2 linked regions of the Canis lupus familiaris genome follow. The protein of the gene in region 1 purifies or fractionates together with the protein of each later gene. This does not show direct contact. Links are inferred from orthologs where the notes say so. Each region holds a gene or a part of one and is shown in the gene's direction. Other genes may lie near its edges.

Region 1 (5,535 bases):
GGGTTTTTTTTTTTTTGAAGCTACAGCTGCTGCCGGCAGAGAGCTCACAACAGAGCAGGCTTTGTCCTTAGTAGAACAAGGAAAGATGCTGAGTACAGCCGGCAGCTTGCCCTGGCGAGAGTAGGAGAAAGCACCATCCTCTTCTTCCCCTTCTCCAGATGCCTCCTTGGGTCCTTGCCTGCTTCACCTGCTCTTTCCGGATTCCTCTGGGGTAGAGGGACTGACTGTGCACTTCAAATTCTGTGAGCAGACAGGATGCTTAAAAGCACAGATTCTGACAGCTATCCTTCTCCTTTTTTTCTCAACTGAAGCTATTTCTGTGATAAATATGAGACACTGAGGAAAAGGAAATTATACATGCAAATACTTCATCACATAGCAAACTTGCTTCTCCGCTCCCCAAACTTCTTTGCATCTCTCCTTCCCTCCTTTCCTTCCTTTCTCTTTTCCAGCATGCTTCTCTCCTTCCACTTCATCCTGTAAATGCCAAATGGACCATTTTAGGAAGCTAAAGAATTGCTCTAAAAATAAAATAATGTGTGGCAGCTTTGCTCCTGATTATTAAGACTCTGTTCGTTGGGAATTGGTAGAAGAGTCTCCAAGATGAAATGTATTTGCCAGGAGTGGCAGCCAACCAAAATTGCAATTTTTCACATAATTCTAACTGCTTGCTTCACGCTCAAAGGGAAGTGTCAGACAAAATGAATGTGAAAACAGTATGGAAGCAAGTGGAGAATATACTTAAACTTCATCAAAAATCAATTCCTTATTTACACATTAGGACATTTATAGCATGTTTTTCTACAAAGTTTCATTAACTAGAGTATGGTGGTATTTTTTTTCCCCTAAATTAACCATAGACCTGTGTTAGAACATTTCTTTTATTCTGACTTTAAGGTTGAGGAATCAGATACAAGTGTATAATTAATACTGCATGGTTATAATATTAGCCTGATATCTGTTGCTGGCAGATTATCCAAAGTACAAAAATGCTAGTTACAGAGGGTGCAGCGAAGTGTAGACAAAACATTATGGAGGAAGGCAGGATGCCGAAGTTCTTATGTCAGCTCTTCTGTTCATTAAAAGTGGGTTTGGTCAGGTCACTTCATTTTCCAGAGCCTCAGTTTCCTTTCTACAAAATGAGGGGATTAAGCCAGTCCTCTGAGATTTTCCCAGTTCTCACAATCTACTTTTCTTGTGCTGTAGCAGAACTCACATTTTAGTGGGAGACACAGGCAAGAAAACAGATGATTATAAAACAGGGAAAACACAAAATGTTAGAGAAATAAATACGAAATACAGACAATATGGATTTAGAAAATTCAGGGCCACACTATTTGCAATAATAATAAAATTTCGGGGTACCTGGTTGGCTTAGTCGGTTAGGCACCCAGCTCTTGATTTCAGCTGTGATCATGATCTCAGGGTCATGAGATTGAGCCCCGAGTCAGGCTCTGCTCAGGGTGTGGAGCCTGCCTAAGATTCTATCCCCCTCTTTCTCTCTGCCCCTCCTCCAATTTGCACATGTGCATGCGCAGTCTCTCAAATAAATAATCTTTGTTTTAAAAAAAGAATAAGATTTTGTAAGATTCCAAGTTTTTAGAAACCCTCCCTTTAAAAAAAGTTTATAATGCTACTAGACTAAGATCAAAATGTTGTGGGTATAACATATTAAAAGAGAATTGAATTTAATTGCAATAATGGTTCTTTATGACTCCTGGAACAATACTGCTGGTTGGTTGGTTGTTTTTCATAAATCTATCTACAGAATGATATAATAATGTATAACCTGAAAACTACCTCACGGGAAATGTTAGAAGCAAACAGTAACATTGTTTTGAAGACTTTATGTAGTACTAACGTTCACTTGGTTCTTATTAGTTTGTTTTGGTTTGGTTTTTGCCTTGTTTCTATTATGATAAGGAACAATGTTTCTTCCTCTTTACATACAACATCCTGATAACTTTTAACTGCAGTGTTATTTCTCTTTTACATAACTGTTCAATATAGGCAATTCCTTCCCATTAGCTACATAATTCATAAGCTCATTTAATTTGTTTATTTTTTTCCTAGCCACAGTCAGAGTGGAAGTGGAGGTAAGCCACACACTTTTATCAGCAATTTCTTTATGTCTTCACCATTTTTGTCTATATTAATAACAAGATGCTTTTGTTTGCACATAATGAGGAGGATCTTAATGTGGTACCACTGGATTAGGAGCTAATGACCTAGATTGCAGTCCTGACCACTGAGTGACCCTAAACAAGTCACTTCTTTCCTCCAAGTTTGTTATGGGTTATAGGGTGACTCTATTTCCAGTGTGCCCAGGGCAGTCTTGATTTATGCCAATTGTCTGAGCACAATTATTAATAGTATCCCCCTTCACTTTCAGAAGTATCCTTATTTGGATGATAACTTATATGGTTACCTTAACTATGACAGCTAAAAACTCCTCATATCCTCATCACCAAAATAAAGGTATTTTACTAATACCTTGAAGTGCTAAAATTCTCATCCTAAAAGTCAGATTATAAGTTCTTTGTACACATTTCTGCAAGGAGGAGGTACTCAATAAACATTTCATAAATAAATATTTGTCAAATAGCAAGGTTCCTGGGGATTTACAGCAAAGGGTTTTTAACTCCTAAAATATCACTTTGATTAAATGAATCAGAGCTACCACCAAAATTCACAAATTCACGTTTAATTCTGTTTTTCTTCACTTATATCTTGATCATTCTCTTTTTCTGAATGTCCCCTCACTATTAATTAAATTTTTCTTATCACCTCCTCCCTCCTCTTTTCCACAATATTTTAACTCTATCTTCAACTCAGTTTTATTTTTTCTCATATTTATTCTCCCCACTGCACAGTACCCTTTATTATCCTTCATATTCAATATTCAAATTTCACCTCTAAGAATTCCTTTAAAAATAATCAACAAAACAATTAATTTACCTACTATCTATGTAAGAGTGGGAAAATAAAGTTATTCTTTAATTAAATGGTTAATAAGGAACAGGGATATTTTCTGCAGTTTAAATAAGGCAGATTTATTATCAAATTTTGAGTGACTATTACATGACCAAATTATAAAATTAACAGAAGTTTCTCTCCCCCACCATCCAAATGAAGGGATGTTCCCACCTCCTCCCCCAGATGATGATATTTATGATGGGATTGAAGAAGAAGATGCTGATGATGGGTAAGAATAATCAGTGAACTGCTTTCTTGAAAATTTTTTGCCAACTGAAATTTAGTGTCGATTTCTGGTTTGAATAAAAAAACAAAAAATAGTGCTCCTTATTACCACACGAATAATAGTTTGAATGTTTACTTAATAGCAGATGTAAGTCAGAAAGTATAATTGCACCACACTTCAAGTGAAGTGGCATGTTATTTGGAAGAATCTCAACAACTTTGTCAAAAGAAATGAAATAAAAAAGAATTATCAGTGTTGTAGTTTTTTTTTCAAACTTTTCACAATCATTTTTTTATCAATCTATAATCTCTGGAGAGTTTATCAGTTGTATGGCTATCCTCTGGATAATAACCATAGTTATAGGCAATCCAAATAAAATGAAACCATATGCTATTTGTGGCAAAACTAGTATTGAGGGGGATGGGGTAACTGGGTGACAGGCATTAAGGAGATCACATGATATAATGAACACTGGGTGTTATGTACAACTGATGAATCAGTGAACTCTACCTCTGAAACTAATAATACACTATATGTTCATTAATTTAATTTAAATTAAAAAATAAAAATTAAAAAACAGTGTTAATTCTCTAAGTGTTTAAACTTTTATAATGGCATATTTTAAAACAAAGATTTTCACTTAATTTTAAACATAAAATAATGCAAAATTGACACTTATAACTTAATTTTGATTTAGCTTGCTGTTTTAAAACCAAGAGATATTTCACTAAATAGAAAAAAATAACTTACCTACCAGTAGCAGCAATATTCAAAGACCGTGGCCGATAAACTTAAAAGCATCATCTTGGTGACTACAATGAGTAACTTACTGCCTGAATGATCAATGCAGTATAATTATAAAAAATCTGAATGTCCACCCATCTTCACATTCCATTGATGATTCCATTCTGATCAATGCCTGCATGCTCCTAAGCTCCACACTACAGGTTGAAGAGAAGAGTAATTCGTGGTCCTGGGGGATTTTGAAGATGTTAAAGGGAAAAGATGACAGAAAGAAAAGTATACGAGAGAAACCTAAAGTCTCTGAGTCAGACAATAATGAAGGTTCATCGTAAGAGTCAACCAACCAAATCCAGTGCACAATAACTACACTAATATTAATTTAATCAAATGCTACTAATATTTTATAACCAATAACCAAATTCTGACAGGCTTAAGTCACTTCGATGTCATTTTCCATTAGTCATTTTAGCCTTATTTACTGTCACCCTTACACTCACGCATTTATGTAAGAGGAACACAAAGTATTCAAAAATTATCATATGGTTTAAAGATATATTTTGCCTTCCCAACAAACATGTGCAGATAACACACACAAATGCACAAACACACACCCTCACATACTCCTACATACTGCGTTTAGTAGAACTTTTTTTTAAATGTAGCATCATATCTAAAAGCTCACAATGCCAAGGCCACATTATATTATATAATATTTGATAGTGACTACCCTTCAAAATATACATCCTCTTTTAAAAATTAATTTGCTGGAAGTAAAGGACAAAATTTGGAATTTCTTTTCTCTAAATAAATATTCAACGTCTCGGTAGCTCAACAGATTCTCCATACTTCACTAATGTCTTTTTAAATGTTAATTCCACATAGAATTCCTTATTTTAAACTCTTCTGTGAGACCTAAAATCAACACCTAGTAAACAGGACACTCAAAATTGTAAATAAACATAACAAATCCTCTTTGATTTTAACAAATCCTCTCTTGATACAGCATTATTCAAATGATGACCTTACTTAGAAATAAAGGCAGAGATTATTTTTCTTGCTCCTATTGTACACCTCCTAATTTTGATTTTCAGTCATTTGAACTAATGACCTTTCACACCTTAGTATAACTGTGCACCATTCTTCTAGAGATGTGTGTTTGTGTGTGTGTTTAAAGTTCAGAAAGTTATAAAAGCAAAGGCCTTTTTCTGTTGCAACTAAATGCCACCCAATGCTGATTTCAGATTACTGATTAGATTGCAACTAAATGCCACCCAATGCTGATTTCAGATTAATAAACTCTTCCTCTGTGGCTACAGTGGATATTCCTCTCTTATTCACCATTCTCCTGTTTGGGAAAACATGGTCATAGAAAGAATCCTATGACCTTTGTTCATTTCTACTCTTTAAGTCAAATAAAAAGTTTTGACCTGAGCTATGCCACAATGACTCCAAAACATTGAGTCCATTTAATTTACTCTGATGTGATAATATGCCCAAACTTCAGAGAACAAATCTGAAAATATTTGGAAGAACCTCAAAAATAGATGGCTATGGGCAAAATAAACCACTGGATACCTTGACTTTTGACT
Region 2 (6,205 bases), about 28 Mb from region 1:
GCAAATAGCTCTACCTCTCTGAGCCTCAGTTTTCCCTTCTGTAAAAATAGGATAAATAATAGTGCCAATAATTCTTTTAAGATTTTATTTATTTATTCATGAGAGATACAGAGAGAGAGAGAGAGGCGGAGACATAGGCAGAGGGAGAAGCAGGCTTCCCGGGGGGAGCCTGATATGGAACTCAATCCCAGGACCTTGGGATCAGACCTGAGCCAAAGGCAGACGCTCAACCACTGAGCCACCCGTGCCCCAATAGTGCCAATAATTAAATAAGACAATTAGTGGCAAGTTTTTAGCCTATTCCCTGGCACAGGAGAAAGACTCCACATGTTTTACCCGTGATGATTCTTATCTCCATCATCACTGTCATTCACATTTCTTACCTTCTGCGTCTCTCTTCTAAATGAGCTCCACGGATTGTTCATCTTGGCCACATTTATAGGATAATTCTTTCAAAGGAACCTAGTATTTAGCTATACCTTAATTCAAAGTCAGTGCTTCTGTAGATATTTATTTTTCTGAGTGGGAGTGAACATCATTAAAAAAATGTTTCTCTTTATAACATGATCTTAAATATTCCTTTACACAGGTGCTGTGTGTTTTGTTTGCTCAGGAAGTATATGACAACACACATACCCACAGGTCCAGAATGTCCTCTCTCTCATTCAACTTCCAAGTCCCCACTTAAGTCTCAGATAATTACACAACATCTTCTTAAAAAAAAAAAAAAGATTTTACTTATCTATTTATTTGAGAGAGTAAGTGAGCATGCATGTGCACTTGTGGGTACACGGGAGGGGGGCGGGCAGAGGGAGAAGAGAGAGAGAATCTCAGGCAGACTGCCCGAGGAGCATGGAGCCCAACTCAGGCTCGATCTCATGACTCTGAGATCATAACATGAATGGAAACCAAGAGTCAGACGTTCAACCAACTAAGCCACCCAGGTGCCCCCCACGACATCTTCTTTGACTACCCTATCCGGAAGTGATTTCTCTCTTTTCCCTCTTTGCAAATAACTTTGTCATTGACCACTATTCCAGTGATTTGAAACACCAAGTGACCTCTCCCACCAATGGCAGAGCTTTTGAACAGCAGGGCTGTGCCCTGTAGAGCACAGTTAGTTATCAAGGGCTCTTCCAGGCCTTGAGAAGAGCTTTGGATTGACTAATGCCCCCAGCCCCCTGGCACCACATTTTATGGACTGCTTCCCAGGTGCTGGGCCTGGAATGAAATGCAAATCTCCTATAAGCGCACAACAACCTGGAGAGGCTGGTGCATTGAAAGTAGGGCTCCTTAGATTGTGTGTAAGATGGGAACCACGCATGGCCAAGGCTCCCCTCAGAAAGGCTTCAAGAAGGTACCTCCACATGACATAGTGTCACTTAGTGCAACAGAGCTTGATTCTTCCCTCAAATATCAGAGCTGATGGCTCTGTGTGTGTGTGTGTGTGCGCGCGCGCAGAGCATTGGCTGAAGTGGAGGACCTATGTTTAGAGACTGTGATGTTGCACAAATATATTTGCTTTTTTACACTGGATTCTCCCACTTCCAATGAGGTGCACATACTAGGAGAAGTGCCGGGGTCTGAGACCAGCTAAGAAAGCAGCAGATGCCCTGCTGCAGGGCCACTCCAGCGAATGTCCTCTTTGGGTAGAAGATACGGGGGGATCAGTGGTGACTAGAGTCTTTGGGGGAAACAACAGAAAATAGAGCCTCGGGCAACATCAACAGTGGTCACTATTTGTGTGCCCTTAATTTTTTTCTCTTTAAGTTTGTCTAGTTAGCTGCATCTAAGGGTTATGTGTATATGAGACAATTCTTGTTTTCCCATTTTACGGATATGGAGACTGAGACTCCTAGATTTTTAAGCCCTTGCAGGAGGTTACGCAGCATGGAGATAATCTTACCAGAAATTGAACCTAGGTCTACCTCTTTCTCAACCCTGGGTGCCCAGCTCACTCACCGAGAATCCTCTCATAATTATACGGAGGCTGCTGAAGGAATGTCAATGTTGTCCTTTTGGGAGAGACTGAGGGATGGCTGGAAAGCATTAAAAGGCCATGCTCTAATAAAAAAATTAAAAAAAAAAATTTTTTAAAAGGGATCCCTGGGTGGCGCAGCAGTTTGGCGCCTGCCTTTGGCCCAGGGCACGATCCTGGAGACCCAGGATCAAATCCCACGTTGGGCTCCCGGTGCATGGAGCCTGCTTCTCCCTCTGCCTGTGTCTCTGCCTCTCTCTCTCACTGTGTGCCTATCATAAATAAATAATAAAAAAATTAAAAAAAAATTTTAAAAGGCCATGCTCCTTCCCCCTGGCACTTTGCTGATGTGGGAGATCATGTGTATTTTAGGTCAACTGTCAAAATAGATTTTCATCTGCAAAGACCCGGCCCAGCAGGACTGCGGGACAAATATCTGGGTGCCAGGAGTTTTAATGGACACATACTTGGGCTCACACTGGAATCCAAGTCCCCTTCACTGCCTCTCCCACGGGGCGGGGCTGGCCGGGCCAGGGGGTACAATACCAACCCTGTCGCTCTCTCTACCTCCTCCAGCCACCAGAGCTGGGCTTCCTTGTTTACTTATTTAGAGCCGAGCAGAGGAAGTGGTGAAGGAAACTTGCTGAGTCGTTTTCTGAGAAGAGACCATATTTGTTCGCAGAGGAAGCTGTTGCTTTCTGGGATCTGGTTACAGCAGAAAAGCCCTGTGCTCCAACAAGGGTGTTCCAGACGGTGACTGGAAGTTGGAAGAGCCAAGAACACCTCCACGCTCTGGACTGGGGTTCTCCATCCATGGGTGCAGCACCCATGCTCAGCTTGTGAGTTCTGTCCTGGGAGAGCAGCCATGGCATTGAGGAACGTGCCCTTTCGCTCAGACGTCCTGACCTGGGACCCCGACAACCTGGCCGACTACTTCAGGAAGGTGAGTTTTGCTCTTTTGTGGGCGGGGAGGCTGGCTGCCCTCAGCGGGGTGGGCAGTGGCTTGAAGAAGGAGTCAGGCAGAACAGCGCAGAGAACTTCCAACCCCGTGGCAGCCTTACCAGTTGAGCGAGCACCATGTAGATGTCCATACACCCCTGAGTTTCTTGGCGATGAGTTCTGGGGAGAAGGGGTCCCTCCGATGGATGTGTATCTACTGAGCGCCGGGCTTGAGTGTGCGCTCTGCAGGCACTGTCCCATTTAACACTCTCCAGTATTGCGGTCCTCTGGGCTCAGCTGAAAGTAGGCTCAGGAAGGTTAAATGGCCGAAAGCCCCAGGGACTACGAGTGACAGAAGCAGGATTCCAGTCACGCGTTTCTGGCTTCAAAGTCCGTGCTCAGGGGACTCAGAACTGCTGAAGCCACTAATGAGATCAAGGCTGCTTACTAGAAAGGGGTGAATGGGGCCCTGGGCATGGGAGAAAGAAAAGGCAGGGCAGGAGGGACGGAGAAGGCTAGCACGAACAATACCAGAGATGGTGGCTGGGCAGTCATTGCTCGTGACCTGAAGGAGGGCTCCTCACGGAGAACAGAGTCTCACTGGAGCTTTATGAGGGTCTTGTGAAGCAGGTGGGAGAACTGCTATGAGCTCTAGGTTATGATCAGTTGAGATAGCCAAGGAAACTGAGGCCTGTAAGAGGAAGAGCTCTGCCAGCAGGGTCAGAGGCCAAGCCTGTGGCAGACCTGAAACTAGAGTGTTACCATCCTGCCTTCTGGCCCTGGAGGAGCTGCTCAAGGACCTGTGCTTGGTCATCTGCTGAGGAGACCACAGGTCACACATCTGCTTGAGTAGATTCCAAGCCACACAACTTGGGTACTCTCCATCCCTGTTCAAAAGATAAGAAGTCTTGTAAGGAACATCTGAGCTTCCAACACCCCAGTCCCTGGAGGATGGGATGGAATTCTGTTGACACTTCACATGGTTGTAAAGATGATATTTTAAAGTCAAGATTTTAGATGTCACTTAAGTCAACTTTCTGTTTTTTTTTTCCCCTGGGGGTGGAATGGGGCTCCCTGGGATGTATAGACACATGGGGTCTATATGATACCTAACTGCTCCCCATCAACCTAAAGAAGAAACATGTGGAGATATAGAATCGAGTGTGGCATGAAAGATGTATAGCCCACAGATCCTGTTATTTGCTGCTTTGTGTGTATCTTGTTTTTGTTCTTTCCTCCAAAAGGTCACAATAAGCTTAAGCTTCAGCACTGTGGGTACAAAGATGCTTGAGACAACTGCCTTTTGAAGTATTTTTCTTAAATGTAGACCAAATAAATTAGGGCAAGAAGACGAAACTTGCCAAGATGCTGTAAAGGGCGTGTTACCTCAATTAAAGAAAGGAGAAAATACTGAGAATTGGTGAGAGAACCCTAGGAACAGACTGAGATGCCCAGACAGGTCCTGTCTTCAGTGTGAGAAGAACTACACAACCTGGTCGAGTAATAGCAGAATCCATGGGCAAATCTCCCCTTAGTGCAGGGAGGTGGACTACAGGTCAGGGGTGATTTAAACAAATCCCTCACCAAAATGATGGTAGAATGAGGAGATCGAAAGGAATCTGTGCCGGCCATCTGCTTGAGGTGGGGGAAGGGAGAGCTGCTTCTTGGAGACCTCAGACCCTGGGACCCATCTGCAGCACTGGGACAGTTTCATTCTTCATAAACCGCCCCCCCCCCAAAAAAAAAAACCCAAACCAATCCCTCATCAAAATGATGGTAGGATAAGGAGATCGAAGGGAATCTGTGATTCGGGAAGTCTCAGCCCCCACAGACTCAACTGCAAATCCTAGGAACCTTGATTTCTCCAGAGAGAAAACATCAAGTGAACTGACCATGGAGTCACTTGGGAATGGATCTTAGTCATCAAATATCCTGTTCAAAGGATCCATGAGCAGGTGCAATTTCTAACAAAGCAGAGAGGTTGGGCCTCTTCGGAGACACTTCCCAGCCAGCCCTGTAGTCAGACACTTTGCTCTGAATCCTGGCTCTACCACCTGCTAGCTTAGTGACCTTCCTTTCACCTCTCTCTGCCTCAGCTACTTCACCAGGAAAAGAGAGATGCTAACAGCAACTTCCCTCATGGGATTGTTGAAAGAATTAAAAGAAATATGGTGTGTGAAGCACTCAACAGATTGAGGGGCCAATTCATGTCTGAAATTCCCTTTTTTGCTCTGTTTACCGGACCCTAGCTGCGGACGTTTATGCAGATTGACAGGCCTTTGTGTCTTCCTATCTTAGATATGTGTAGTTCATCCCCTGCCTAGAATAGAAGTCCTCTCTGAGGACTGAGGTCATGTTTTGGATTTCTTTAACCCCTCCAATTTCTTTTGACTTGGCAGGAAAGCATTCCTGGGCCATGCAGTGGAAAGGCATTGACTCAGAGCCATTACTAATCCCGGTTATGTTCCCAACCAGCTGTGTGACCTCAGACCAGTCCCTTCCCCTCTCTGAGCATCAGCTGTCCCGTCTACAACAACAGTACCTCCTCTAGACTACCAGAGCTGAGTGCTCGTAGAATCCCCTATATGCTTGCTAAAAATACGAATTCTAGCCCCCAGGCCTACGGATGCTTTCCTGGTATCTGGTTACTGGATCAGAATCAACTTCTAGAGCAGCCCCAGTCTGCAGAGCTATCTGTGTATGTAGAGTCAAACCTAGCAATCTGCAAAATCAGAGCTGTATCTGATAATGATGACAGTAAATGATGAATTAAAGGCAGTTAAATATTCCAAGAACTACTTCTACCTCACTGCATGGAAATAGAAGGGATGATCAGGGTGCCTCAAATGTTGCTCACATTCCAACTTGACCTCTAAATCAGCTTTTTCTGATAGTTTTAAAGTTTATCCCATCCTTTCAAGCCAAGAAATTACAACAATTCTATTCACTTTTTAGATTGATTGACCATTAAAAAAAAGACCAAGATTTGCCCCCAGAAGAAGGTTGCCACAGATTTTGAGCCTCATACTTTGACAAGAACCAAAGGTTCTCCAGGACAGACATTTCACTTTAAATACTCCAGCCCAAAGTATCACATTTGGAGATGTTTCAAATGCAAATTCTCATGCTGCTGAAGACAAGGTGAAACAGAAAACTGAGATTAATAACAGATGTGACTCTTTGGGAAAGCAACCAAGATCGTTCCTGTGAATCTTATAACTCTATTCTGAGAATCCAGTTTAATTTATCTTAAATAGAAAAAAAATATGTGTGTAGAAGGATATCCAT

Evidence for each region. The genes of interacting proteins can lie anywhere in the genome.
Region 2: the proteins of FYB1 (region 1) and LCP2 purify together in Homo sapiens (co-immunoprecipitation; 6 studies listed by BioGRID and IntAct, with this or other methods). This does not show direct contact. The link is inferred for Canis lupus familiaris from reciprocal best matches to the Homo sapiens genes FYB1 and LCP2.

What each region holds. Positions count from the first base shown.
Region 1 is NC_049225.1:70,767,184-70,772,718, forward strand, and holds part of FYB1 (FYN-binding protein 1), read left to right. Parts: intron 1-2,073; coding exon 2,074-2,096; intron 2,097-3,135; coding exon 3,136-3,205; intron 3,206-4,136; coding exon 4,137-4,274; intron 4,275-5,535. UniProt on the Homo sapiens protein: Acts as an adapter protein of the FYN and LCP2 signaling cascades in T-cells. May play a role in linking T-cell signaling to remodeling of the actin cytoskeleton. Modulates the expression of IL2. Involved in platelet activation.
Region 2 is NC_049225.1:42,499,961-42,506,165, forward strand, and holds the start of LCP2 (lymphocyte cytosolic protein 2), read left to right. Parts: upstream 1-2,564; 5' UTR 2,565-2,843; coding exon 2,844-2,921; intron 2,922-6,205. UniProt on the Homo sapiens protein: Adapter protein primarily involved in signaling pathways within T-cells, as well as other immune cells such as platelets, mast cells, and natural killer (NK) cells.